Linked DNA regions of Drosophila melanogaster. The protein of the gene in region 1 purifies or fractionates together with the protein of each later gene. This does not show direct contact. Each region holds a gene or a part of one and is shown in the gene's direction. Other genes may lie near its edges. The genes, in order: Mer, kibra, Khc and Sik2.

Region 1 (6,051 bases):
AGATTCACTTTATCCCTCCCTCCCAAAAATATTCTATTTGTTTGGATACAATATAATCTCGGTTTTCTTAACAATATCTGCTGTTTGGGTTGGCTATTTGTGATTTCCATTTAAGAAAAAACAAACCTCGATTAGCGGTATATTTAGCACAACCCATTGGTATATCCCACAGCCAATTTCGAACTTCGAGGCAGTCACACTGGTGGATGTCGCTGCTGTGAAACGGGGCAGGACAAAACAATTGACCAATAGGAACCGAAACCAACACACTGCACTGGCCCCGGGATCGGAATGGCTGGATTCCTGAAGACAAGGTAATCACCTTGACCAAGGTAGTGAGGTCCCAGCGCTAATCAAACGCACACCATTCCTCCACAGAAAGCGCAGCCGGGAGGATGAACTGGCCTGCGAGTCGCCCCTTTCGAAGCGCATCAACAACCTGAATCTGAACTACGAGGATGGGAACAGCAGCAGCAGCAGCAGCTGCAGCATTCCGCCACTGTCGGGAGGAGGAGCGACTGGTGGATCCGGCGGGTCCGATGCAGCCGGAAACGGTGTGGCGGCCGGATACGAATACAACCCAGAACTGGGAGCCGAACAAAACCCATTTTACTACGAGAAGAACAAGATGCTGTACGACCTGCATGTCGAGCGCATCAAGCGGAGCAGCCAGTAGCTAGTGATCATGGATTCCGGTGTGCGAGTCCAAGTCCTGGCACAGCCATTTAAGTGCCAACACGAGTTATCTGCAGCAACACTCTCTCTAGGTTCAAAGTAATTCGCCTCCGTTCAGTCTTCTCTGCGCACGGATTCGGATATCCGTGTCTGGAGTCACTTGCGTTTGTGTGATAAGCATTGTTTACTTGCATGGCATTAGCATCACCCCTGATGCATACACATAATAATAGTAGTATAAATTGAGCTAAGAGTCCCCCAAACACGCACATGAATATATATAAACTATGTTCATCGGTTACCATCCCTTCAATATGTATTTATAATCCTGCATGTATAATTTATTCTAAGAATAATGTAAGAAAACCTCCATATCTTTATATTTTCCTATTTCGATGAAATACGATATCCAGGGGGGTACAAGTTCATTGCTGAGTCGGTGGAGATGGAAAATAAGCTACAGGGACCTGATAAAACGAAAGCTGGACTTATTCATTGTTTATATACGCATCTGCTGACATGGTCATTTTGCTTATTCCGAGAATTTAAGCATGGACCTGCAATACAAGAATACGTCCAATAAACATTTACATAGTAATACATCTCATCCTTAGACAAATCTTTAAAACAAATATTGCGCTCAAGGACTTCATTTTCCCAATTCGTGACCATTGACAGGGTGGCAACTCTATATAGCACTGTGTTATTTTAGTTAATTCATCTTTCATCAAATAGCTGATCAAATCTATTTCGCAGCATTCAAAAATTCGTATAACTAAAAATGAGTGTACAATTTGAAAAAACATATTGCGGTATATTTTGGTATTTGGACTACCACTGTTTTGCCAGTTTTTGAAAACTTTTGGAAAATGGAAAGTTAATATATTTTTAAGGTATTTAATATGTTTTCATGTGCATATATTGACATTTCAATGCTTTATGTCGTTTGAGATGGATTAATTTAAGCATTATGATTCCTCCATAAAATTGAAATGGAATCACCCTACTAAATATACAAGGCGTCTGCCAAAGCTGATTTTTCTGCATCTAACGGCTGGTCACACTGTCTATGTTTATGTCGCGCATATCGGGAATTTGTCGTACAATTGCGATTCGCGGTGCAAACAATCGAGTAAGTTGCCTATTCTCGTACTTGGTCGATGTGGAGACCCTTCTGCCGACCCTCAATCAGCTTCCACGCCAAAGGAGCTGGGTGAGCGGTTGAATAGTGGGCGCCAGGATGCCGTGGCCACGCAGTTCTTAAATCGCAGCGCCGCATAAACGAAGAGCCTTACTCTTTCTTTCTTTCCGCTCACAGCCATCAGCCCAAATTGCCATTGCCATTGCCCGGAGCACCGAATTGGCTGCAAAATGAGGCAGTCCGCGATAGGCGAGGACCGCAGGAGCAGCAACAAGGAATCGTGCCACTAGATGGCACAGGAGCACCAGAAGGACCAAGAATCAGATTAGCAGGAGCAACAAGTCCTTTGCACGCAACAGGTTATCACGAATTGCCCACAAGAGCACTCAGTTCCCACTCCAATCCAATTGCATCTAACGCATCACATCACATTGCGTCGAATCTAATCAAAACACATCACATAATCGCGATGAGCCCCTTCGGCTCCAAGAAAAACCGATCCCTGTCGGTGCGGGTGAGCACCTTCGACTCGGAGCTGGAGTTCAAGCTGGAGCCGCGCGCCTCCGGCCAGGATCTGTTCGACCTGGTGTGCCGCACCATCGGGCTGCGCGAGTCTTGGTACTTTGGGCTGCAGTACGTCGACACCCGCAGCAACGTGTCCTGGCTGAAAATGGAGAAGCGGGTGCGCGACCAGCGCGTTGAGCTGCACGCTAGCAATAATGTGTATGTGTTTAGCTTCTACGCCAAGTTCTTTCCGGAGAACGTCAGCGAGGAGCTGATCCAGGAGATCACGCAGCACCTGTTCTTCCTGCAGGTCAAGCAGAGCATCCTCTCCATGGACATCTACTGCCGCCCGGAGGCGTCCGTGCTGCTGGCCTCCTACGCGGTGCACGTGCAATACGGTCCGTACGACTACGAGACCTACAAGGACGGTATGCTGGCCGGGGGTGAGCTTCTGCCCAAGGGAGTGACCGATCAGTACCAGATGACGCCCGAAATGTGGGAGGAACGGATCAAGACATGGTACATGGACCATGAGCCCATGACGCGCGACGAGGTGGAGATGGAGTACCTGAAGATTGCTCAGGACCTGGACATGTACGGAGTAAACTACTTTCCTATTACGGTGAGAGCCTTGATTTTCACGTGGCGCATCTGAATCTTATCGTTTGTGTTCCCCACCAGAATAAGAACAAAACCAAATTGTGGCTGGGCGTCACCTCCGTGGGCCTAAACATCTACGATGAGCGCGATAAGCTAACGCCAAAGACAACGTTCCAGTGGAACGAGATACGGCACGTCAGCTTCGACGACAAGAAGTTCACCATTCGCCTGGTGGATGCCAAGGTTTCGAATTTCATCTTTTACTCGCAGGACCTCCACATCAACAAAATGGTAAGGAGGGCAGTTGTGACAACTGAAATATGTATATGTATTTTCACTATGTTCATGTTCCCATATTCATACTACACTTGCATCGTGTGCTTTGCAGATTCTTGACCTGTGCAAGGGCAATCACGATCTATATATGCGCCGCCGCAAACCCGACACCATGGAAATCCAGCAGATGAAGGCCCAAGCCAAGGAGGAGAAGCAACGCCGCCAGATCGAACGCAAAAAGTTCATCAGGGAAAAGAAGCTGCGCGAAAAGGCGGAGCACGAGCGCTACGAGCTGGAGAAGAGCATGGAGCACCTGCAAAACGAAATGCGCATGGCCAACGATGCACTTGTAAGACTCACTCCGCCCAGTGGCTTCTGATCTATAATATTGAGTTTCTCCCTGTATCCCAGCGGCGTTCCGAAGAGACCAAGGAGCTGTACTTCGAAAAGAGTCGTGTCAACGAGGAGCAGATGCAGCTGACCGAGTGCAAGGCAAACCACTTCAAGACGGAAATGGACCGGCTGCGCGAGCGACAAATGAAAATCGAGCGGGAGAAGCACGACCTGGAGAAGAAGATTCGCGACGCCGACTTCTATGTCCACCAGCTGACGGTGGAGAACGACAAGCGGGAGGCCGAGACTGAGAAGCTGCGCAAGGAGCTGATCTGCGCCAAAATGGCGGAGCGCGAGGCCACCGCTCGCCTGCTCGAATTCCTCAACAGCGGCCGCAAGTCCTCCACGGATAGCCTGCTGACCGCCTCCAGTGTGTCGCACGCGGCGAATACGGCGTCCAGCATGGCGGCCATCAGCACACCCTCCCTGATCACAAGCAGCTCAACCAATGATTTGGAGACCGCCGGCGGCGCCGAGCTGACCACCCACTCGTCACACTACCTGGTCCAAGGTGACAACTCCAGCGGCATTTCGGACGACTTCGAGCCCAAGGAGTTCATACTCACCGACAACGAGATGGAGCAGATCACCAATGAGATGGAGCGCAACCACCTCGACTACCTGCGCAACTCCAAGCAGGTGCAAAGTCAACTGCAGACACTGCGCTCCGAGATCGCGCCGCACAAGATTGAGGAGAACCAGAGCAACCTGGACATCCTCAGCGAGGCGCAGATCAAGGCCGGCGAAAATAAATACTCCACGCTCAAGAAACTCAAGTCCGGCTCGACCAAGGCGCGTGTCGCCTTCTTCGAGGAGCTCTGACCTCCTCCGCCTCCGCCTCCTCCGTCACCTACTCCCCCCTCACCCCCGCATCCGCCGACATGACTAATACCCCATCTAGCTGTACGATACGTTACGATTTGGCGTGTGTGCCTGTGCGCGTGCTAGAGTGTATGAGTGCCTTAACCGTAGTTGTACTATATCCTACTATAACATACTATATTTAATGTTTTTCGATTGTTCGCTCAAGCCGCTGCTGTAATAAACCAATTGCAAACGTACATATGTACATACATATGTACATATATGATTTTACATTCACTTACGCACGAAAAATATTCATAAAGTAGATGGGCGATTAGATACCGTTATTTTCGGTAGAAGATATTCAACACCTTCCATGCAGTTCCACAATTCATCGCTCTTGAGAAACATCACACCCTCTCACCGACACCGACTCTCTCGAACGCGATCTCTCTCTTCCAAAAATGAAAACTAATAAACCGCAAAACAGAATCAAAGGACGATTAAAATGCGCTCAAACAACGGTGATCAATAGCGAAGATTTGGCGCTCTTTTGACTTTGTCAGTGTGTTGATACCTTCCCTGCAGTTCCCCAATTCATCGATCTTGAGAAACATCACACTCTCTCACCGACACCGACTCTCTCGCGAGCGATCTCTCTCCCAAAGATGAAAAACCATAAACCGCAAAACCCAAAACCGCTAAAGCAGCGATGAAAAAACGCTGAATCAAAGGACGATTGGCCCGTTAAAATGCGCTTAAACAACGGTGATTAATAGCGATGTTTTTGGGATTTTTTTTTCATACCGATGATTTCCTAAAACATGCCAATGTTAAAATCACCGGTAGCTTTCGTGCAAATTGTGCGGTGTTTAAGCGCTCAACATTTTTAAAAGAGCGGTGATTTACCGATTAAAAGTCGGTGACTGGAACTGCAGGCACGGATTTGTTCTAGTTAAGTCTGAATGTTAATTACGATATTCTTGAAGCTCCCTCCTATTCCGCTGAGCGTGGTCGGTTTACGGATGTTATCCCAGAGACTGTGGATGTCCATCCGATTCCATGGTCTCTTAGTTCTGTTGCCATATATTTTCTGTCAGCTCGTTTAAATACATATGTACATATGTACATACATACATACAACTATGCAAATCGGAACGAAAATGCTGTCTTCCTGCAGTGTATCCTATAGCTAAAAAAATAAAGTGGCGCAAATTAAACGATTGGATTTCTATTTATTTATTATAATTTTTCAAGATTTCAGACAAAGGAATTGCATTTTAATTGAATCTGACTATAGATATGTATGTACCTGTAGACTATAGATTATGCCTAACGTTTAACTGCAAGGGTACTTAATCCTTTAACTTGGCGTGCACGGCGTTAAAGGAAATTTCCCACTCGATATGATAGACGGATCATTCAAAGGTATAGGGTTTCAGATCCGAAGAGTACTCCGGACTCGTTCGCACCATCAGTGTATCTTTGTCTAATTCAAGATCTTCAAAGGGTGTTTCTACCCTATACACCTTGTTATGTTCCGTTATTACGCGGAGTAATTATAATAAGAGAACTTTATTTAAAGTTTAAATAACGGTAAAAACTTAATATTAGATATTAAATAAACGAAATGTCATAGTTCAAATGAAAATGTATGT
Region 2 (4,891 bases), on another chromosome or scaffold:
GAAGTTCAACCCGTACATTCGTCGCGGATACCGCACCTTTCTACCTTCCACAAAAATGTGCCTGCAGAGCATTTTCTGGTGGACCAATGAGACGGTAAGATTGCCACACTAGAATGATACTCCATTCCAATTGGAGCTACAATAGTTTTCCTTAAACTCTATTCCCTATTATTATAACATTATTATTGCTATATTTTTCATAGATCAACATCTGGAGCCATCTGGCCGGTTGCATCCTGTTCATTGGACTGACCATCTTCGATCTGCAGTTCCTGCGCCTCCACGCCTCCCTGAGCGACCAGGTGCTGGTGGTCTGCCTGCTGGTCTGCTTCTGTCTGTGCATGCTGATGTCCGCCATATACCACATCTTCTCCTGCAAATCGGAGGAGCACTACGAGCTCTTTCTGTCCGTTGACTTCCTGGGCATTTCGCTGTCGCTGGTGGCCATCTATATCAGTGGCATGTACTATGCCTTCTGGTGCCACACCTTCCTGCGCACCCTGTACTCCACGATTGCACTGGGCATGTTCGCACTGGCCATTGCCGTGCAGATACCCCGTTTGAATGTGTCCATGAACGGCAAGGTGGCGGTGCTGCTACTCTGGTCTGCCTATGGAATCATACCTCTGGGCCACTGGGCGGTGGCCATGGGCGGTCTGGAGAACGAGCTAGTCAGGGTAGGCATCAGTTGGAAATTTATGGAATCTTGTCATTTGCTAATCCATCAATCATTACCATTTGCAGCTGATGGTGCCCCGCATCGTGCTCATGTACTTGCTCTGCCTCGTCGCCTTCGTTTTCTATGCGGCCAAGATTCCGGAGCGCTGGTTCACCGGCAAGGTGGACTTCGTTGGGCATTCGCACAACTGGTGGCACCTGATCATCGTGGCCGCCTTCTATCACTGGCACAACACCGGACTGGTCTATGCCGAGTATCGCCTGAATAACGGATGCACTGCACCAGTTCTCTCCTAGAACTTGAAGATCCGAACATCTGAGTTAAGATCCGAAGATCCGAGGAGCGGAGATGGAATCCGGGACTCTAGTAGACTAAAGCTTAGTGTAAATAGTTTATGGGGCGCTCTTTATCCGCTAATAACTAATATTTAGTTGTAGTTGTTGACCGATATGATTAATTTATGTTTAATTTACCAATTAGTTAGGGTTTCGTGTTAGACAATCCAGATCCAGATAGTTGGCATCGCATAAGCGGCAAAAAGGTTTCTCTCTTTATATCCTAATTGATTTCCTTTAATATATACAATTAAACAATGTCAATGAAATTGCATGTGTCTTGAGCTGAAGCTGTGTTAGTCTTGTTGACTCAATTTTTACAATTCATAAAATGCAAATACAATATCAAACGTACAAAGCAAGCGAAATTGTGGTTTTATTGAAGTTATGTTTCGGAAACATAATTTATTTTTCTATCTATGGTTGGGATACATATTGATTTCGAAATGCGTAACTCAGTTTACAGTCTTTTTTTTTAAATTTTTTCTTTTTCTGTTTTTAAAATGTAACGGAAATGTTAGGATTAAGATAACAGTAATTGTTAACAGAGCGAGTTAACATGATCTATCGGAACTGGCTTTGATTAACATCGCTTGAAGAACCGAACTAGTTCCTGTTACCAAGCCGATCTTTGAACGTACAACTCCTATTTTCTTCCCTCAACAATTACACCTATGCTTGGGGACTACACAAGCCAAATAACAATAAATACTTTTCGTGCATGATTGTTAAATATCGCATCTCTGCAACCGCGTCAATACAGCCTATAATATCGATATCAACCAATACATCGAATAACATCGCCGCGAGTGTATCGATATGCAATGCGATGTTTTCTGCTACACCACTAGCAGCGAATGTTACCAAAACAAATTCCGAATCCGAATCGGACGGTCATCAAGCGCGCTACTCGTGTTTTTTGCTGCTCCCCCAAGGAATTCCGGAACCGAAGAGATCGGCGACGGCGCGAACTCACTAAACTGAAGTACATATTTTTTTGTGAACACCAAGTGGATGGTTGGATTATCGTCGTTAATTAGTTTCAATTAGGCGAAAATAAGAAAATAAGTAAAGGAGTTCAAACGCTTGCAACAACAAGAAATGAAAAGAAGCAGCACCAACTGTGAGCAGTGATCGTGTGCGCTTGTGTTCGTCCCCCATATGTGTGCGTGTGTTTGAGCTGGAATGGAATGCAGTTACGAAAAAAGTAAATAAATAATTGAGAGCGCGCCCGCGCTCTCCCGCTCTCTCTCCCCTGCGCGCGTGTGTATTCGAGTTGGCTCGGTGTGTGCCTCTACGCCCGTCACCGTGTGGCCGTGTTGTGTGTGTGTGTGTGCGGGTCGGTCTCCATTATCGCCGGAGCAAAAGAAACGGAATTGAAATGTCTTTGCTAATGTAAACAGCGCAAAGAGAAACCCCCCGAAAAAAGAAGCAAACGTAGATAGCAATAGCGAAAAGAAAGAAAAGGCGCGCGTCGGGTGAAAAATCCAGCAACAACGACGTTTTCTCAGACTAACCAAAGTACACGGCGAGAAACAAAGTTAAAATGCCGAATCTGCAACAAACCGCATCGCAATCGCAGCATCATCTGCATCCCCACCACCTGCGACCCCAACAGCAGCAACAGCAACATCATCATCATCATCAACAACAGCAACAACAACAACACACGCATCATCAGCAGCAGCAACAACACCACAGCGACTTCCCACTTCCCGATGGCTGGGATATCGCCAAGGATTTCGATGGCAAGACCTATTACATAGATCATATCAACAAGAAGACCACCTGGCTGGATCCCAGAGATTGGTAAGTGTTCCGGAAAGGGTCAATTAAAGAAACGAAATTGAAACAAGGGCGATCTGAAATATAATTATAAGATATTTGCATTTGGAAAGTTAGTTTAAACTTATTAAAACTACTAGAACAATTATCAGAAATGAGGCATACATAACGAATGACCAAACCAACAGGTTGTGTTTTAAATAAGTTATAGATGCTTTAACATCGCAAACTATCAAGAGTGCTTATAAACCCCAATTGCTGCTTAATGGCTAATAAGTGAAGCAGATAACTCATTGAGAATCAAATTAAAATAGAATAAAATTCTTGGCAAGTTGTTAGTGGCTTAAGAAGGCATAAAACGCAGGTGAGAGATCAGCAGTTCACTCATTCAGGAAGCTCCGGCAAACGAGCTAAAAAAAAAACCCATATAAATTCCGATTCCGAAGCGCTCTTGAACCGGAAAGAAAAGGTGCGTGCTGCAGCTGTGTGTGTAAAGGAATGCGATCGGTGGAGGCGAAATGAAGCAAAAAAAAAAAAGAAAAATAAAAGGAAAATAAAATAAAGAGGCAGCAGCAAAATAAATTACATATTTTAAACAAGACAGCAGCGGCAGCAGGCAAAACAAAACGCAACGGAACGGGGGAAAAACTTGGAGTAAACATTCCGATGCGATGATTAAGACTCCGAATATAACTGAACTGAACAGAGAGTGGCAACAAACAAAAAATGGATTGTAAAGCCAGGGAAATACAACAACAAAAATTCGAGTGAGAGAGAGCAAAAGTTAAATAAAGCTCGGCGAATGATCTGTAAAATAAAAGGAAAACAAAACCAACAAACTCATACGTAATGAGTGCGAGAGAGCCAAAGGAGAGCGAGCGAGAGCGCTGGCGATCAGGCCATGTATCTCATAGATACATTTTAGTTTGCCGTTCGCTCACATTTTTTGTCTTCCATCTCGCTCGCGCCCCTCGCTGCCGCCCCACTCGCCATCTCTGTCTGTTGCTTTGCCCATAAACAATTGCAAAATGTACGTAGGAATTTTTGCAGTTTCGAAATAATTGATTTCTGAAATTCTTCGCCCTCTCTTTCGCTGAGTTCAATTTTTCGCTTTTCACAGATAGAGAAATGTGTAGTGTTAGATGGATTTTGTATCTTCAATTGCTCGATAGCAAATGCTTATTGCCTTTCTGCAGTTGTACAGCATTTTCATTGACATTAGACACACTCTATAATTTCAATATCACGTTGCAAATGATTTATTAAGCCATCAAAGCTTGAATATTAATTTTTTCCAGTGCATTTCTATCTGTGTACGCCTTATTGTTTCAGTTCGTTTGGTGCTGTGTGCGCTTCACGCTTTCAATTAACACAAACATTCCCTTTGTTTGTTTCAAATCGCATGGACATTGTTGAAAATGTTTCACTGAATTAAGCGTTGTGGAATTTCAGCTCTTCCGCCCGCCCGCCTTTGAAATTGAAACGAAACATCTGCGCATTTGCTAGGGTTATGCATCAAGTAGATTATAAATGCACACATGTCGTTCAAATGTCTGCCAGTGGGCACAAAAAGTCAGCGATCTATGAGCGTTACGTTCCGATTTCGGGGTTATAGAAATTTAAAGCTTAAATGACCTTAGGGGATTTACTTACTATTTGAAAAACCAATCAGATTATGAAGAGGGATACCATAGAATATAAGAAATAAAAACAAGAGTAAATGTTTTATTGGTATTTTCTGTATACATCTGCAAAGTATGTCTTCGAATTTAACTAACTATTCCATATTTTTCCAAAATAGTTTTACCATTTCTATTGACCAAACAAAACTATTTAATGCTGTATACACCCCTTATTGGTATTTTGCCCAGTCGCGCATATTTTGTATCCAAATCATATACGCTTTTTGGTCCCCTCTTCGGCTGTCTATCGATCCCCCGCATCCAACTTGCTATTGCTATTGAATTTTCAAAATTGCTGCCGGTAGCGCGCAAAAATTCCAATAAACCATAAATAAATTTCTACAATAAAGCGAAGCGAGCCAGGCCTCGGGCAACCTTTAAAGGCCTCGCCACGTTTCGAGCACAGCCAA
Region 3 (7,062 bases), on another chromosome or scaffold:
CCTGACTGGCGGCGATTCTTCGTACAGCCGCAGCTTTGATTCCGAACGGAGTCTCCATCGTCGGAGTAACTGCCGGGTTGATTCTGTTGCTTGGCCAACTGGTCTAGAAGTCTCCCGCACACGGCATTATTATTTCGCTTCCAGCTGTCGCAGCACGACTTCTGATTGTCCTCGCCGATTACTTTACGGAACCTGGGCTTCCACTCTCCGCGTTTTTGGGAACATAGTCTGGGACCTGGCCATCTATCGCTGCGTATACCATTGCCGACGGACTCGTAACCATCCCAGTTGTCAGCACCGACGTACACATCATTTTGTTGCGTTTGCGATGAACGCTTTTCTGGGTTGTCTTTCGTGGGACATGAACATGGTTTCCCAGTTCGATACTGTTTGCTATCACTTTTTTGGAATTTATTTGACTGATCCTGTTCCTGATACCGATTAGACATCCTTGGGTTGGTACTGCCGCTTTCTCCGCCTTCTAAAGAGCTCTTACTTCCGAATTGAGGACGACTGCTTTGACCTCTTAGCTCGCACGCTTCACAAGGATCTTCGTCTTCCTCTGGCTTGCAACGAACACAGTACGCAGTGGGATACCACCGATCATTGCCGGACGTAGATCTTTCATGGTGCACACCTAAGAACTCTTCATTTGGTGGCTCAGGCTCTAGAATCATCTTGTAGAAGGTGTACCCGCACCTGGTTTCACTGCAGCTGGGACTTAAAAAAGCTAGAGGCGATATGAATGTGTCCTCCGAAAAATTGGGTGGGAAATGTCCTTCCTTAATGGGACAGTTAGCTTCCTCCTGTGTAAAAATAGAAGATAATGGTTCACTATTCAATATCCAGTGCAAAAACCATCCACTCACCTCCAAGTTTCCCAAGAAATGCAAGTCCTCGAAGTAGGAGTACCTTGGACTATAACTATAACCCTCAATTTGACTATTTCGGATGGCGGCCAATTCCTTGGAGTAGTAGTGCCGCAGACCGAGCACCTGCAGCTCCACCTGGTCAGGAGTCAGGCCGCAGTTCATCCGCCGGGTGATTTGTCGCCAGGCGTCATCCTTCGCAGAACCACTATGGAAACCAGGTGACTTTGGATTCCAGAGGCACTCGTTCGATCGATAAAGTCGGATGAGCTTCTGCGTCTTCTTCAATCGCTCCAAATTCAAATACGACGTAATATCCTTCTGTGCCATCGTGCCCCTCTGTTCTCCACAATCCTTTCCAGCGACTCGGTGATCAATCTTCCATAGCGTTTTCCTATTGAACCTACAGAGGTTGTATGCCTAGTTTGGAGCTATATATTGCGCCCAAGCCGAAATATTTGGACAGGAAAAACAAAAGTGACAATAAACAAGCAATTTTGAATAATTTTTGAATGATTTTTAAACGGTATCGCTTAATTAGGAATATTATATGCCGTTACCATTTTCAAGATCTGCAGGGTGTCTCATACATTCGAAGCTTTTGAGAGTATTAATTCAGTATTATTGTGCAATTAAATGGCGATTGGTATTTAGCTGGGCGAGCAGAACGGTCACACTGGCGCACAGTAGCGAAAATAATAGTCGAATAATAAAATAGTTTTGAGTGCAACTAATTCCGACCTACTAACGTATGCGAGTGCATTTAGCGGCTGCACTTAATCATTCCGGGCAAAAAAGTGCAAAACAGTACGACGCGGAGCAGTCAGAATCGAGGTTGCGCTCCAGCGTTATCGCCATTTGACCAATTCAACTTTTGTGTCTGGTATAACCACAAAATTTTCACTGCATCTTCTTATTTGAGCCGCCCCCAACCCAATTTTCGCGAGTGTGTCGGAATCAGCAGAGAATCGGAACAAAAGGGGCCAAACGGAGTACCAGAATCGGCACAAGCAAACAGTGAACAGCAGATAGTGCGGACGATAGCGAGTCCGTTGATTATCCACGTAAACAGTGAGCTGCATGCGCAGAGGTCGCGCCCAGAGCTGCAGAAATCCAACAATCTCCGCCAGAAAGATCTATCTCCGCCCTGTAAGCAATGTCCGCGGAACGAGAGATTCCCGCCGAGGACAGCATCAAAGTGGTCTGCCGATTCCGACCGCTGAACGACAGCGAAGAGAAGGCCGGCTCCAAGTTCGTGGTCAAGTTCCCCAACAATGTGGAGGAGAACTGCATATCCATAGCGGTATGTGTTCCAGATCTATAGTTTTCGCCAGCCCCCAGTGCCTTTTCCCTATGTGTTATGCATTAATCTCGGCGTGCCGCGCCATGACGTCATGCCTATTAGCGTACATTACCCTTCCCCAAAATTGCCGACCAATTGGAATGCCAGGCGATAAAAAGAGAGAGGCACTAAAGTTACCCATGAATAATTGCACAAAACAAAACTAGATGTACATATACATGTATATGATGAAACCAACTAACTTTACTCCAAATCAATATTGCTTTGCACCAAATTGATTTTCCCCCAGTCGAAAAAGAATAGGGTGTGTAAATCGAAAGAAGCGCGATGACGGGGTGGAGAAATGCCACCCACTAGACGGTTTTCTGCTAAAAGCGGGTGTTCCATTCTTTTGGGCCGCATAAATATGCGCTTTTCTAGTTTCCAGTCCGCCTTCAGTGCTTACCTCACTTACATTTCCACACAAACACATACACACATTGACGGTAGCCCCCGCTCCACTTCCACTCCCCTGTCCGCGCGCCAATGAGTCATGCACGCAAAGCATACAAAAAAAAAAAATATGAGGAAAAACAATAAGAGCAACTTTGGAGGCAATGGAATTTGGCTGTATTGCTTTTATGCCACATGAAATGTTATTGCTTTGTATGCTATGCTGAATTTCCCGCTTTTCCGCCAGGTGTAATCCGTCATATTCCTGGTAAAGCTTGGGCAATTGAACCAGTTCCAAAAAAGTCAGCACTAATATAGTGCCTCCATACACAGACATTATCATTACGCTCTCTCTCTCTCTCTGACTAACTCTATCTATCTCTCTTTCGCTGTGGCTTTCTTCTGGCGCTCGTTATTCACTATTCTTCCCCCTTCCACTTAACATGTCTTAATGCTCATAATTACAATCTGCTTCGCGGCCATGCGTTGAAAATGATTCAAAGGCAGTCAGCGGGAAAAGATCGGGGACAGGGGGAATGAATCTCCGAAAGAAATTTCACCGCAACTGACACCAGTTTATAGCTAATGTAACTGGCTGCTATGTACTAAAGAAAAAAACACATTATACTAAACCTAATCTCCATCGTCTGCAGGGCAAGGTGTATTTGTTCGACAAGGTCTTCAAACCGAATGCATCCCAGGAGAAGGTCTACAATGAGGCGGCCAAGTCCATTGTTACGGATGTCCTGGCCGGGTACAATGGAACGATATTCGCATATGGTCAGACGTCCTCCGGAAAAACGCATACGATGGAGGGCGTGATCGGGGACTCCGTAAAACAGGGTATCATACCACGTATCGTCAACGACATTTTCAATCACATCTACGCGATGGAGGTGAACCTGGAGTTTCACATCAAGGTCTCCTACTACGAGATCTACATGGACAAGATTCGAGATCTGTTGGACGTCTCCAAGGTGAACTTAAGCGTGCACGAGGACAAGAACCGGGTGCCGTACGTCAAGGGCGCTACGGAACGGTTCGTCTCGTCGCCGGAGGATGTTTTCGAGGTGATCGAGGAGGGCAAATCCAATCGTCACATCGCTGTGACAAGTGAGTACTAATTAAAATCGATGGTCAGGACCATTTCAGCCAAACAAGTCTAGGAGTTATTCCAGCATTCGCTCTGACCTCGATTGTAGTGTTTCATGTACCAGATCATCTTTTATAACGATTTATCCATCCTTTCAGACATGAACGAGCATTCTTCGCGATCCCACTCAGTATTCCTTATCAATGTGAAGCAGGAGAACCTGGAGAACCAGAAGAAACTATCCGGCAAACTCTACCTGGTGGATTTGGCCGGTTCCGAGAAGGTTTCCAAGACTGGAGCGGAGGGAACCGTTCTTGATGAAGCCAAGAACATCAACAAGTCGCTGTCGGCCTTGGGCAACGTAATTTCAGCCCTGGCGGACGGAAACAAAACGCACATCCCCTACCGTGATTCCAAGCTCACGCGCATCCTGCAGGAGTCGCTGGGAGGCAATGCACGCACAACCATCGTCATCTGCTGCTCTCCAGCCAGTTTCAACGAATCTGAAACGAAGTCAACGCTGGACTTCGGTCGTAGAGCCAAGACAGTGAAGAACGTGGTCTGCGTTAACGAGGAGCTTACTGCCGAGGAATGGAAGCGACGCTATGAAAAGGAGAAGGAAAAGAACGCCCGACTAAAGGGTAAGGTGGAGAAGCTGGAGATCGAGCTTGCGCGCTGGAGAGCGGGTGAAACTGTTAAGGCGGAGGAGCAAATCAACATGGAGGATCTCATGGAGGCAAGCACGCCCAACCTGGAAGTGGAGGCAGCACAGACGGCGGCGGCCGAGGCCGCTTTGGCCGCCCAGCGAACGGCTCTCGCCAATATGTCCGCATCGGTTGCCGTGAACGAGCAGGCCAGGCTGGCTACAGAGTGCGAGCGTCTCTACCAGCAGCTGGACGACAAGGATGAGGAGATCAATCAGCAGAGCCAGTACGCCGAGCAGCTCAAGGAGCAGGTGATGGAGCAGGAGGAACTCATCGCTAACGCTCGGCGTGAGTATGAGACTTTGCAGTCGGAGATGGCGCGAATCCAACAGGAGAACGAGTCCGCCAAGGAAGAGGTTAAGGAGGTGCTCCAAGCTCTCGAAGAGCTGGCTGTAAACTACGACCAGAAATCCCAGGAGATCGATAACAAGAACAAGGATATCGATGCCCTCAACGAGGAGCTGCAGCAGAAGCAGTCTGTGTTCAACGCCGCCTCCACAGAGCTACAGCAGCTCAAGGACATGTCCTCACACCAGAAGAAGCGCATCACGGAAATGCTAACCAACCTACTGCGCGACCTTGGCGAAGTGGGCCAGGCCATTGCCCCCGGCGAGTCCAGCATTGACCTCAAGATGAGTGCTCTGGCTGGCACGGATGCCAGCAAGGTGGAGGAAGATTTCACCATGGCGCGTTTGTTTATCAGCAAGATGAAGACGGAGGCCAAGAACATTGCCCAGCGATGCTCCAACATGGAAACACAGCAGGCTGACTCCAACAAGAAGATCTCCGAATATGAGAAAGATCTGGGCGAGTACCGGCTACTCATTTCGCAGCACGAGGCACGCATGAAGTCGCTGCAGGAGTCGATGCGGGAGGCAGAGAACAAGAAGCGCACGCTCGAGGAACAAATCGATTCGCTGCGCGAGGAATGCGCCAAGCTCAAGGCCGCCGAGCACGTTTCCGCCGTTAACGCCGAGGAGAAACAGCGGGCTGAGGAGCTGCGCTCCATGTTCGATTCTCAGATGGACGAGCTACGCGAAGCCCACACCCGGCAGGTGTCCGAGCTCCGGGATGAGATTGCCGCCAAGCAGCACGAAATGGACGAGATGAAGGATGTCCATCAAAAGCTGCTCTTGGCGCACCAACAGATGACGGCCGACTACGAGAAGGTGCGCCAGGAGGATGCCGAGAAGTCCAGCGAGCTTCAGAACATCATCCTCACCAACGAGCGTCGGGAGCAAGCGCGCAAAGACCTCAAGGGCCTGGAGGACACGGTGGCCAAGGAGTTGCAGACGCTACACAACCTGCGAAAACTTTTCGTTCAGGATCTACAGGTAAAGTTTAAGCAATCCTATCTATTATTGCTACGTACAGATCTTAAAATGTATTTCCCTTGTGCCAACAGCAACGAATCCGAAAGAATGTCGTAAACGAGGAGAGCGAGGAGGACGGTGGATCACTCGCGCAGAAACAGAAGATTTCCTTCTTGGAGAACAACCTCGACCAGCTGACCAAGGTGCACAAGCAATTGGTGCGGGACAACGCCGATCTGCGGTGCGAGCTGCCCAAGCTGGAGAAGCGTCTACGCTGTACCATGGAGCGGGTGAAAGCTCTGGAGACAGCGCTCAAGGAGGCGAAGGAGGGCGCAATGCGGGATCGCAAGCGCTACCAATACGAGGTGGACCGCATCAAGGAGGCGGTGCGACAGAAGCATCTGGGCAGACGTGGCCCACAGGCACAGATCGCCAAGCCGATCCGGTCCGGCCAGGGTGCAATCGCCATTCGTGGTGGTGGCGCCGTTGGAGGACCATCCCCGCTGGCCCAGGTTAATCCTGTCAACTCGTAGATCCAATCACCACCTGTCGCCGCCCAGTTCAGCTCCGCTTTAAACTAAACTAAATGGATTACGTTATACATACTTAACATAACTGATAATTGCCTTCGCTTAGATGAGATGTGTCGCGATCATGTGCAGCGCTTTAAATATACATACATATAATTTAATTAAATAAATGAAAGGAAACCGGAAATTAACTAAATTTTACAAACCGAAAATAATAAAACCCACAGATATGTAAGGACATCTATATACGTTAAGAGTATTTATAAACTTTTCAAACATAAACCTAAATAAAAGTCGCAGACAAATTAAGGTCTCTTTAGTTTGATTCTTATTGCAGTTCAAAAAAATTATGCCGATTATTTGGCTATTGGTTGTTATTACATCGTCTGCTGTTACAATCGCATGTTGTAACCTGTCCCGCGTGTGTTATGGTGCTCCCAATCGTCTGGAGAATTGACCACCTGCCATTCGTACCACACTTTGGTTGCATCCACGCATCGCCAAAACTGGATGGATATAGTCTGTCCCTCCCTCAGAGTTCTTGGACGCTGAGTAGTAAAAATATATATTAATGTAGCAGTTATCAAAGGCTAACTAATCACATCACACGTACCGTTGCGAAGAACATGGGGAACCAGGAGAACATGCCAGGCGTATGGGTCAGAGGATTGATGCTTAGGCAGATGTCCTTGTACAAATGGGTATCAAAGTATCCGCCGATTCCGTGCAGCACGCAATCTTTATTGACTTTAAATGAAACCGTCTTGCAGCGAGTATTGTCAATATTTTCCGCTCGATTAGGATGTACGAATTCAAAC
Region 4 (7,985 bases), about 18 Mb from region 1:
GCATGGACACCATTGTGCCTGTGACCGATATTGATGCCTTGTTATTGAGTACGCCACCAGCTGCTCCGCTGCTGCGCAAAAAGGCGCAGGGGCAGGCGCCGGGACACAGCAGCAGTAGCTCATCCAAAACGGAACGTCGCCGCCGCTTCCAAACGTTTCCACAGCCTCAGCTGCAGCTCCAAGCTCAGTCAATGGATTGTAGCGAACTTTATGACTTCTTAAGCTCTAGTTCCCTGAGCTCGTCCACCGATAGCGAGGCGGAAGTAGGTGGTCATCGACGGCACGACACCGATCGCGAGGGCGACGATGAACTCACCGACTGGCCGGGAAACGAATTCGGACCCGGAGCCAGATACGATCCAAAAAGGAAGCTTACAAAAAAATCACTACTGCCTCAAATTCGCTCGGATGACACAATTGGAGAAGATGACACTCTTATGTCTGGCACCGAAGCGGGAGCGGTGGGTATGGAACCGCCTTCGAAGTCTCCAGTCCAACTTCCAGAATCTCTTCAGGATCTTTCCCGCTTCCAACCAGCCGGCGTCTCCGAGCCTATCGAGATTCAGAATGCCTGCTCAGAGATGGAAACAAATGCAGATGGCACCATGCCGGCTTCCCGCCAAATCGAGAGTGAGATGTCCGGCGAAACCTCTAATCCGTTTCTTTCCTCGTCGCCTCCTGGACACGCCCAGGGACAGGAAGTACGTGAGATACGAGCAGGGTGTCGCCGCATCAATGGCGAGCGTCCAGGATTCAGCATCAAGATGAGCGTCAATGAGCGCATCGCCCGATTTTTGCAGGATTCGCAACAGACACAGATCCGTTTGCCGGATATAGAGCTTTATGAGACCGATAGCATGAGTAATCTGGCCACGCTCTATTCACTTACCATGGTGGTAGAGCACGGATGTACAGTGCTCACCAAAACCGGGTAAGGATAAAGGGATACTTATTCAAAGTCTATAACTAAGTTGTTGCTCTTCCAGGAACACTACGCAGACGGTGAGCATGGATCATCTTCAACAAGGTCTGCAGCCGCGTGCAGATCTCTTTGGCGATTTTAAGCGGCGCTGCTACGGTGAGGAGGGAGAGGAGGAAGGAGAGCAGCAGCAGCCGCTTCAGCAAGATCCCGGCCAGATTTAGCCCCAGAAAGCAACACTATAATCCAAACAAGACCAATCCCTAGCAAATGCAAACGTACAGCCATCAGCACTCGAGGTGAAACTCTTGGCATACGCTTGCATTTCTAGGGTGGAAGAAACCCTTAATCTATGAATGCTTTTAGCTTGTTTTTGTGAAATCTGTTCCATGTACATAAGTTGCATCGGTCCGTGTATATACTAACTGACTTCGTTAGGGAATGGCGCCAGCAAGACGGATACCGGATCCCAGATCCCGTCGGTTTGGGCTCACGCTTGGAAGCGAGCGAGATGACACGTTTCAGAGACAGAGAGAGAGGACCGACCGAAAGCCGTCGGCAGCCGTTCCACTGTACAAAATATTTAATGTAAGACCTTCAGCGAATATGAATATAAGAAATATATATGTGTGGTCATATCCGGAATACATGTGGACTTCATTTTTACCTAGAATGTGGTGGATATTTTATATAAAAGAGCAACATCCCAATACAAATCAGTAGCAAAAGTATATCTGAGTATATCTGAAAAAAATTTGAAAATAGTTCAAACTCTTTCTGTTAGTTGTACCGGTCACTGTCTATCTGAAAGCTGAATCGGTGAAACGGGTTATATTGCATACTGTTTTACGATCAAAGGGCGCGAAATTCAAATGAATTCCATCAAACTTCCCACCCTCGCGAAAAAGTTGGCGCATGCTCGATGCTCGGCACTTGGCGCTCACTTGGCAACCCTCATGTGTGTGCTGGTGAGGGTCGGAAATTGAGGGGCGAGTGGGTGGAATGGGGCAGACAGCGCCGAGCTTGCGTCAAATACGGACGCCAGTTGGACGCAGCTCGGGATTGGAGGCAGCCACGTTTCCTAGCCATCTGCCGTGTGTGTCGCAGCGACTGTGTCTGTGTGTGCCGTGCTGTGCTGTTCCGAGCCGCATGTGTGGCGCTCCGCGGACGCGATGTAAAGCGGATCCTCGCCAGCGTTTATCCTCTCATAGCCAGTAACCGGATTCGGATTAAGCTGGCCCAGCCTGTAGCCTATTCTCAGTTTTTGCCACCGCTCCTGCTCGAAACTTCTTTGTCAACCGGCGAGGCTTGTGCTTTTAACGCTTTCACCAATAACGGTATTTTTGGGGAGAGCAGCTTTAAGGGGAAATCTCCTGGCAGTGGTTCTGAATCGGTTGCACTGCATCCTGAAGGAAACAACAGTGGCCACTGGCACCGCGGAGCATTTCCACGATGCGATGCGGTTGCTCTGCTTATTGATTTTTCACCAACACTCACCCACACACATACACTCGCACGCTGGCACCCACACACTTTCAGCCGCACACACAGTCAGTGCTGGCACCTCGGCCATTTTGTGGCTGGAAAAAAAGCCATTTTGAAAGCGGAAGTGCAGCGTCAGCCATTTTCGTTGAATGTCTTCCTTTTGGTGGGCACTAACAAATGGATCTGCATGTCTTTGAGGACCTCAGCTAATGGTTTTTAAAATATTTGTCTGTACCTGGTGCGCATATGCGATATGCGAGTGAAATAACACTATTATTATCGTGATAGATTAAATTTAAACGTGAATCCAGTTTACCATTGCAATTGAACTGTGGCAACACTGCCTGAGAAAGAGAGGGAGAGTGCAGCTTTGGTGGCTTGTGGAGTCCGCGTCCGAAAGCCATACACATACACACTCGGAAAGCCGAGGTAATCTCTTATCAAGCGACGACTGCCCACCCCTTCTCCGGAGTCATCCCGTTCTTTATTGCACTTACATATTTTCTATGCACATATATGTACATGGGGAACACACAACATTAGTCGCACATCCATTCAAAAAGTTTCAGTTCATTATTGTATTGTAATTCTACCCAAAATATACCACTCTACTTTTTCTATTCCCGCAGAAGCGCTGTCATGAGACAGGAGGTGTGTGTGAGCATGTGCATCACCATCTCGCTGTCGATCGCGATCTCCCACTCCCTCCGCCTCGCGCTCTCCGTGTGAGATTTCCCGCCCAGGGTGGCGCAGTTGGAAAATGAGCACGTGCGAGGCGGCGGCCGCTGGCGAGAATGGGAGCCAGGCCAAGTCCGAGGAGAGCCAGCCGCCGGAGGATCAGAAGAAGAAGCAGCCGCAGCATGAGAGGAACGAGAAGCAGCTGGATAAGCCGCCGGAGAATTTGCCCCAAAACGGGAAAACCGAAGCAAAAGGAGCAGAAGGAGCGTGTTCACACCCCCCACTGGATGCCCTCCGGAGCTCAGTGCTCCTGGATGCCGGTGCTGCTTCGCCCTCGATAGACGCAATAGTGGCTTGCAAGGATGCACTGCTCGCCCAGAAGCTCTTTGCCAGCGGGGGTGGCTCCACGCCCGGTCCCAGTCCCACATCCTCTGCGGTGGGCGCGGGCGGTATCAGTGGCAAGGACCTGCTCAAACTCAAGGAGCCCATGCGCGTGGGCTTCTACGACATCGAGCGCACCATTGGCAAGGGAAATTTTGCAGTGGTCAAGCTGGCCCGGCATCGAATCACCAAGAACGAGGTGGCTATCAAGATCATTGACAAGTCGCAGCTGGACCAGACAAACCTACAGAAAGTCTACCGCGAAGTGGAGATCATGAAGCGCCTGAAGCACCCTCACATCATTAAGCTCTACCAGGTCAGCAGAATTTGCTGTGGCAGATCCTGCCAAGAATCGTATTCCTAATCCCGTTCTACCAATCCCACAGGTTATGGAGACCAAGAATATGATCTACATAGTGTCGGAGTATGCCAGCCAAGGAGAGATCTTCGGTGGGTTGAGGCTTCATTTTAAAAAAAATTTTTTAAACTCGGACTGTAGAGTACAGTACTCGATTTAGTTAGCAGACTTTTGAACCCACATTGCGCACAGACTTGTTGACCTTTGGACGAACAACACTAGCTTTAAATCTCTCGCATTCTCTTAAGTTGATAAGGGTTTCAATGAGATGGACTTACCTTTATATTTTATCCAGATTACATTGCCAAGTACGGGCGGATGTCCGAGTCGGCGGCGCGCTTTAAGTTCTGGCAGATCATATCGGCGGTGGAGTACTGTCACAAGAAGGGCATAGTGCATCGGGATCTCAAGGCGGAGAACCTGCTCCTGGATTTGAACATGAACATCAAAATAGCGGATTTCGGGTTCTCCAATCACTTCAAGCCGGGAGAATTACTGGCCACCTGGTGCGGATCACCGCCGTACGCAGCTCCCGAGGTTTTCGAGGGAAAGCAATATACGGGTCCAGAGATTGATATTTGGGTAAGTGGTGCGAAGTATACGTGTCAATTTATCCAAAAATGTATAATTTCCTGCAGTCACTGGGCGTCGTGCTTTATGTGCTGGTATGTGGGGCCCTGCCCTTCGACGGATCCACGCTGCAGAGCCTCCGGGATCGGGTGCTTTCCGGTCGCTTTCGCATTCCGTTTTTTATGAGCTCCGAGTGCGAGCACCTCATTCGCCGGATGCTGGTACTGGAGCCCACAAGGCGGTACACCATCGACCAAATCAAACGCCATCGCTGGATGTGCCCCGAGCTGCTGGAGCACGTCCTGATAGCCAAGTACAATCTGGGCGCCGAGCGGCAGACGTCCGTGGAACCCAGCGAGGACATTCTTCGCATCATGGCCGAGTATGTCGGCATTGGGTCGGACAAGACGCGAGCCAGTCTTAAGAAGAACACTTACGACCATGTCGCGGCCATATATCTGCTCCTGCAGGATCGAGTTAGCCACAAGAAGGAGCAGAGCAACGGCTTAGGCGCCAGCGCCCTTGCCTCGTCGACCTCCGCCAGTCGGATGATCTACAGCTCCAGAAATGACCACCAACCGACGCAGCAACAATCGCAGCAGCAGTCCAAGACAATATCCACCAGCTCGATCCTGGCCAAGGATCAGTGCCACAAAAGACTTAGCCGCCATCAGACGGTACTCATGAGTGAGCGTAACGCCCACGCCGGCGCGACACCCACAGTTCCAGATCCCGGTCCCGGATACTACGCCAAGTATGGCCCACTGCAACTGCCACTGCCTCTGACGGGCCACTCCCACCTGACTGGGTATCTGAATGGAGGAGGCGTCGAGGTGGATGCCAGCGGCATTCCGCTGCCCATGCGGTACACCCCGCTGCCGACAGCCGCGTCGCCCGCTCCCTCTAACTGCTCATCCACATCCTCGAGGGTAGGACGACACAGTCTAAGCTCCAGCTCGCCGCGAAGCCATCGACCGGTGGCCATTTCGCTCAGCATCGACAACAACCCCTCGCTGGCCAACCTGCGGTGCAGGGAGATGATGGAGGCTGGAGGAGGACCCGTTGGAGCAGTGGGTGTGCCTCTAGCGTCCAAGCAGCTTCATCAGACCATCAGCGAGTTCATCATCAAACAGAGCACCGAAGACTGTCGTGCGCTGCTGCAGCAGGTGAGTTTTCGGCTGATTCTATCCCAAGTTATTTCTATCCTTATACTTTCGGCAGTCCACAGCAGTGGCTGAGGGTAAAGATGATCCGCCAAAGGCGGAATCAAGCGTAGGAGGCGTTCCTCCGCCCGCCTCTACCACACCCACATCCAGTACAGCGGGACCGGAATCGGGATCGGCTCCCTGCCCTGGTGAGATTAACGGCAAGACAATAAAGACTATGTCCAGCTCGAGCAGCTTCGATTCTAAGGCCAATTTGGGCCAAAGCTTTCGCTACAAGATGTCCGCCGAGGCCAGCAAGCTTTTCCAGACTCTCCAGGAAAGCCCACTGCCCGTGGAGGTGAGTGATACGTGTGAGTTAATAATTGCTTCCAGCTGACAAATTCCATTTCCTCTCCAGCAAAGGACTAAGCGTCGTGTGCACGTGGGCAGCACCAATGGCAGCGGCGGTGACTCCGGCCAGGAAACGAATGATGCGAAATCGAATGGCGACAGGTGAGTCTTGCAGTCACAGCGATAGTTTCTTGACTAATGTCGTTTTCTTCCGTTTCCGCAGCCGCTCGGAGAAGAAAGTTCTGGCCCAAGGCAGCTCCAGCACAGATGAGGGCTGCGAGACAGACCAGGGCAACGATCCGGGCTCTGCTTCCCAGGAGTCAAAGGGCAGCAATGGCGGCGGTAGCGGTAACGCCAACGGCGGACCCACCTCGCACTCCAGCAGCGATCTGACGCGGCTCGTTGGAACCACTACCTCTGGACAGAGTCACAAGATGCGCTCGTATGCCAGTAGTAGCTCGTCCAGTGGCGTTCTCGCCGGGAGCGCTGGTAGCTACTCCAAAAGTCTGAGCCAGAACCTGAGCCGCGGCTCGTCCAAGAGCAATTGCAGCGGTCCCTACGATAGCTTGGACTTTGCCTTGCCTTCTGGCAAGGGCAGTCTACCCTCGTGCATGGGCTCAAGTTCGATGCTGGCCACGCCCACTCCGGCCTCGGCATCGCCAGCGGGAATCTCATCGGAGCATTCATCGGAAAGATCGCTGTACGGGAGCCACAACTCCTGCATCCATATGCCAGGAGCTCTGCCGTTGGGCTTGGGCCTTCCTCAGAGTTCAGCCTCCACGCCCACGCCGAATCCTACGCCTCCGCCAAATGGCGGTGGTGTCACGTTCCTGGACAAGCGTTCACCCATACACTTTCGCGAAGGAAGACGGGCGAGTGATGGCCTGGTGGCCCAGGGCCTGCTTAGCTCTGGTTCCTTGCTGGGCACCAGTCGTGTGTACGGAAGTTATCGCTACGAGCAGGCCAAGCGTCACGGTTGGCTGGAGATCCAGCAGCTGCAGCAGCTGCAGCAGGAGGCGGCTGTGGGGCATTCACACCCACATGCCCATCAACATCCGCATCAGCATCCGCATCCTCATCCCCAAGCGTACGGCTTGGAAGAACTCTGTCAATTTCCAAATGGTCAATTCTATGCTCTGCCGGGCAAGCATCATCCGCTGCTGACTTTGCCCCATCATCATGCGCATCCTGCGCAGCATCACCATGGCCATCATTCGCTGTTCCATTCAGGCCACCAAGCCACACCTCTGCTCCTGGAAGCCGCTGCTGGTGGGGATATGTATGGTCATGGATGCTATGCTCCGCCACCGCCGCCACCAGGGCTATACACGCACCATCAGTTGGGCGTGGGTATGGCCGTGCCCATGTCCCCGATGCAAAAGCCACCGCTGCAGCAGCAGCTACTGCAGCACCGCCTGCTTCAGCAGAAGCGTCAGTTGTTCCAGAAGCAGTACGCACTGGAGGCGCAGCTAGCCGGTCGACATCACCACCATCAGCAGCACAGCCATCACCACCATCACCACTTTGGCCACAGCCTGGGTCCGCCACCGCCGCCGGCTCCGGCTCCGGAACATCACCTGGCCGACGAGTTGTACGAGTTGGCCTTGCTTGATCGGCCCAGGAGCGGAACTCCTAGGCTTCAGCACTCCATGACCATGCCCGGAGCTCATGCCTTCAGTCAGATGAACCTCAAGACTTCCTACATCAGCCAATCGGACCAGGTGCCTGGTGCGGCGCCTAATGGAGCTGGTTCCGGAGGATCAGCTGCTGGGGTATCATGCTCAGCTCCACCGTCCACGGCGCCGGGTACGCCCACGGTCAAGTGCAAGCCTACCACGCCCCACGGTCACAGCCTGGACTCCGACTATCATGTAAGTAAGCTAGATAACGCATATTAAGATGATTTCTCAGGCATCCCAAGTTCGTATATAAACCTTATCCGTTTTCTCCTTGTGTCCTCCGCAGACATCGACGCCGGTGCTCAGCCTTTTCACGCCCAATTGGCAGTCGCTGGTAAAGCCGCTCAGCGAGAGCCCCATCCTGGAGATATCGGAGCACCTTGAGTCAGTCTGAGGCCGTGTGTGATGTTATTCGGTGG

The links.
Region 2: the proteins of Mer (region 1) and kibra purify together in Drosophila melanogaster (affinity purification with western blotting; 3 studies listed by BioGRID). This does not show direct contact.
Region 3: the proteins of Mer (region 1) and Khc purify together in Drosophila melanogaster (affinity purification with western blotting, with the first as the bait; one study listed by BioGRID). This does not show direct contact.
Region 4: the proteins of Mer (region 1) and Sik2 purify together in Drosophila melanogaster (affinity purification with western blotting, with the first as the bait; one study listed by BioGRID). This does not show direct contact.

Annotation. Positions count from the first base shown.
Region 1 is NC_004354.4:19,689,192-19,695,242, reverse strand, and holds Mer (merlin), read left to right. Parts: upstream 1-1,742; 5' UTR 1,743-1,807; intron 1,808-1,993; 5' UTR 1,994-2,285; coding exon 2,286-2,942; intron 2,943-3,001; coding exon 3,002-3,211; intron 3,212-3,308; coding exon 3,309-3,545; intron 3,546-3,607; coding exon 3,608-4,411; 3' UTR 4,412-5,546; downstream 5,547-6,051. Other genes in the region: CG14229 (uncharacterized protein), read left to right, coding at 292-314, 379-676. UniProt on the Drosophila melanogaster protein: Regulator of the Hippo/SWH (Sav/Wts/Hpo) signaling pathway, a signaling pathway that plays a pivotal role in organ size control and tumor suppression by restricting proliferation and promoting apoptosis.
Region 2 is NT_033777.3:14,721,243-14,726,133, reverse strand, and holds the start of kibra (kibra), read left to right. Parts: upstream 1-1,872; 5' UTR 1,873-2,560; coding exon 2,561-2,823; intron 2,824-4,891. Other genes in the region: CG7530 (uncharacterized protein), read left to right, coding at 1-94, 204-677, 745-975. UniProt on the Drosophila melanogaster protein: Regulator of the Hippo/SWH (Sav/Wts/Hpo) signaling pathway, a signaling pathway that plays a pivotal role in organ size control and tumor suppression by restricting proliferation and promoting apoptosis.
Region 3 is NT_033778.4:16,266,449-16,273,510, reverse strand, and holds Khc (kinesin heavy chain), read left to right. Parts: upstream 1-1,539; 5' UTR 1,540-2,025; coding exon 2,026-2,172; intron 2,173-3,257; coding exon 3,258-3,717; intron 3,718-3,855; coding exon 3,856-5,735; intron 5,736-5,806; coding exon 5,807-6,247; 3' UTR 6,248-6,551; downstream 6,552-7,062. Other genes in the region: CG33017 (uncharacterized protein), read right to left, coding at 1-806, 870-1,199; csul (capsuleen), read right to left, coding at 6,637-6,792, 6,858-7,062. UniProt on the Drosophila melanogaster protein: Kinesin is a microtubule-associated force-producing protein that may play a role in organelle transport. Milt and Miro form an essential protein complex that links Khc to mitochondria for light chain-independent, anterograde transport of mitochondria.
Region 4 is NC_004354.4:2,055,893-2,063,877, reverse strand, and holds the start of Sik2 (Salt-inducible kinase 2), read left to right. Parts: upstream 1-1,962; 5' UTR 1,963-2,256; intron 2,257-3,033; 5' UTR 3,034-3,164; coding exon 3,165-3,779; intron 3,780-3,849; coding exon 3,850-3,913; intron 3,914-4,116; coding exon 4,117-4,403; intron 4,404-4,459; coding exon 4,460-5,557; intron 5,558-5,612; coding exon 5,613-5,894; intron 5,895-5,954; coding exon 5,955-6,049; intron 6,050-6,110; coding exon 6,111-7,758; exon of another isoform or gene 7,759-7,767; intron 7,768-7,821; exon of another isoform or gene 7,822-7,852; coding exon 7,853-7,960; 3' UTR 7,961-7,985. Other genes in the region: CG4281 (uncharacterized protein), read left to right, coding at 1-931, 987-1,143.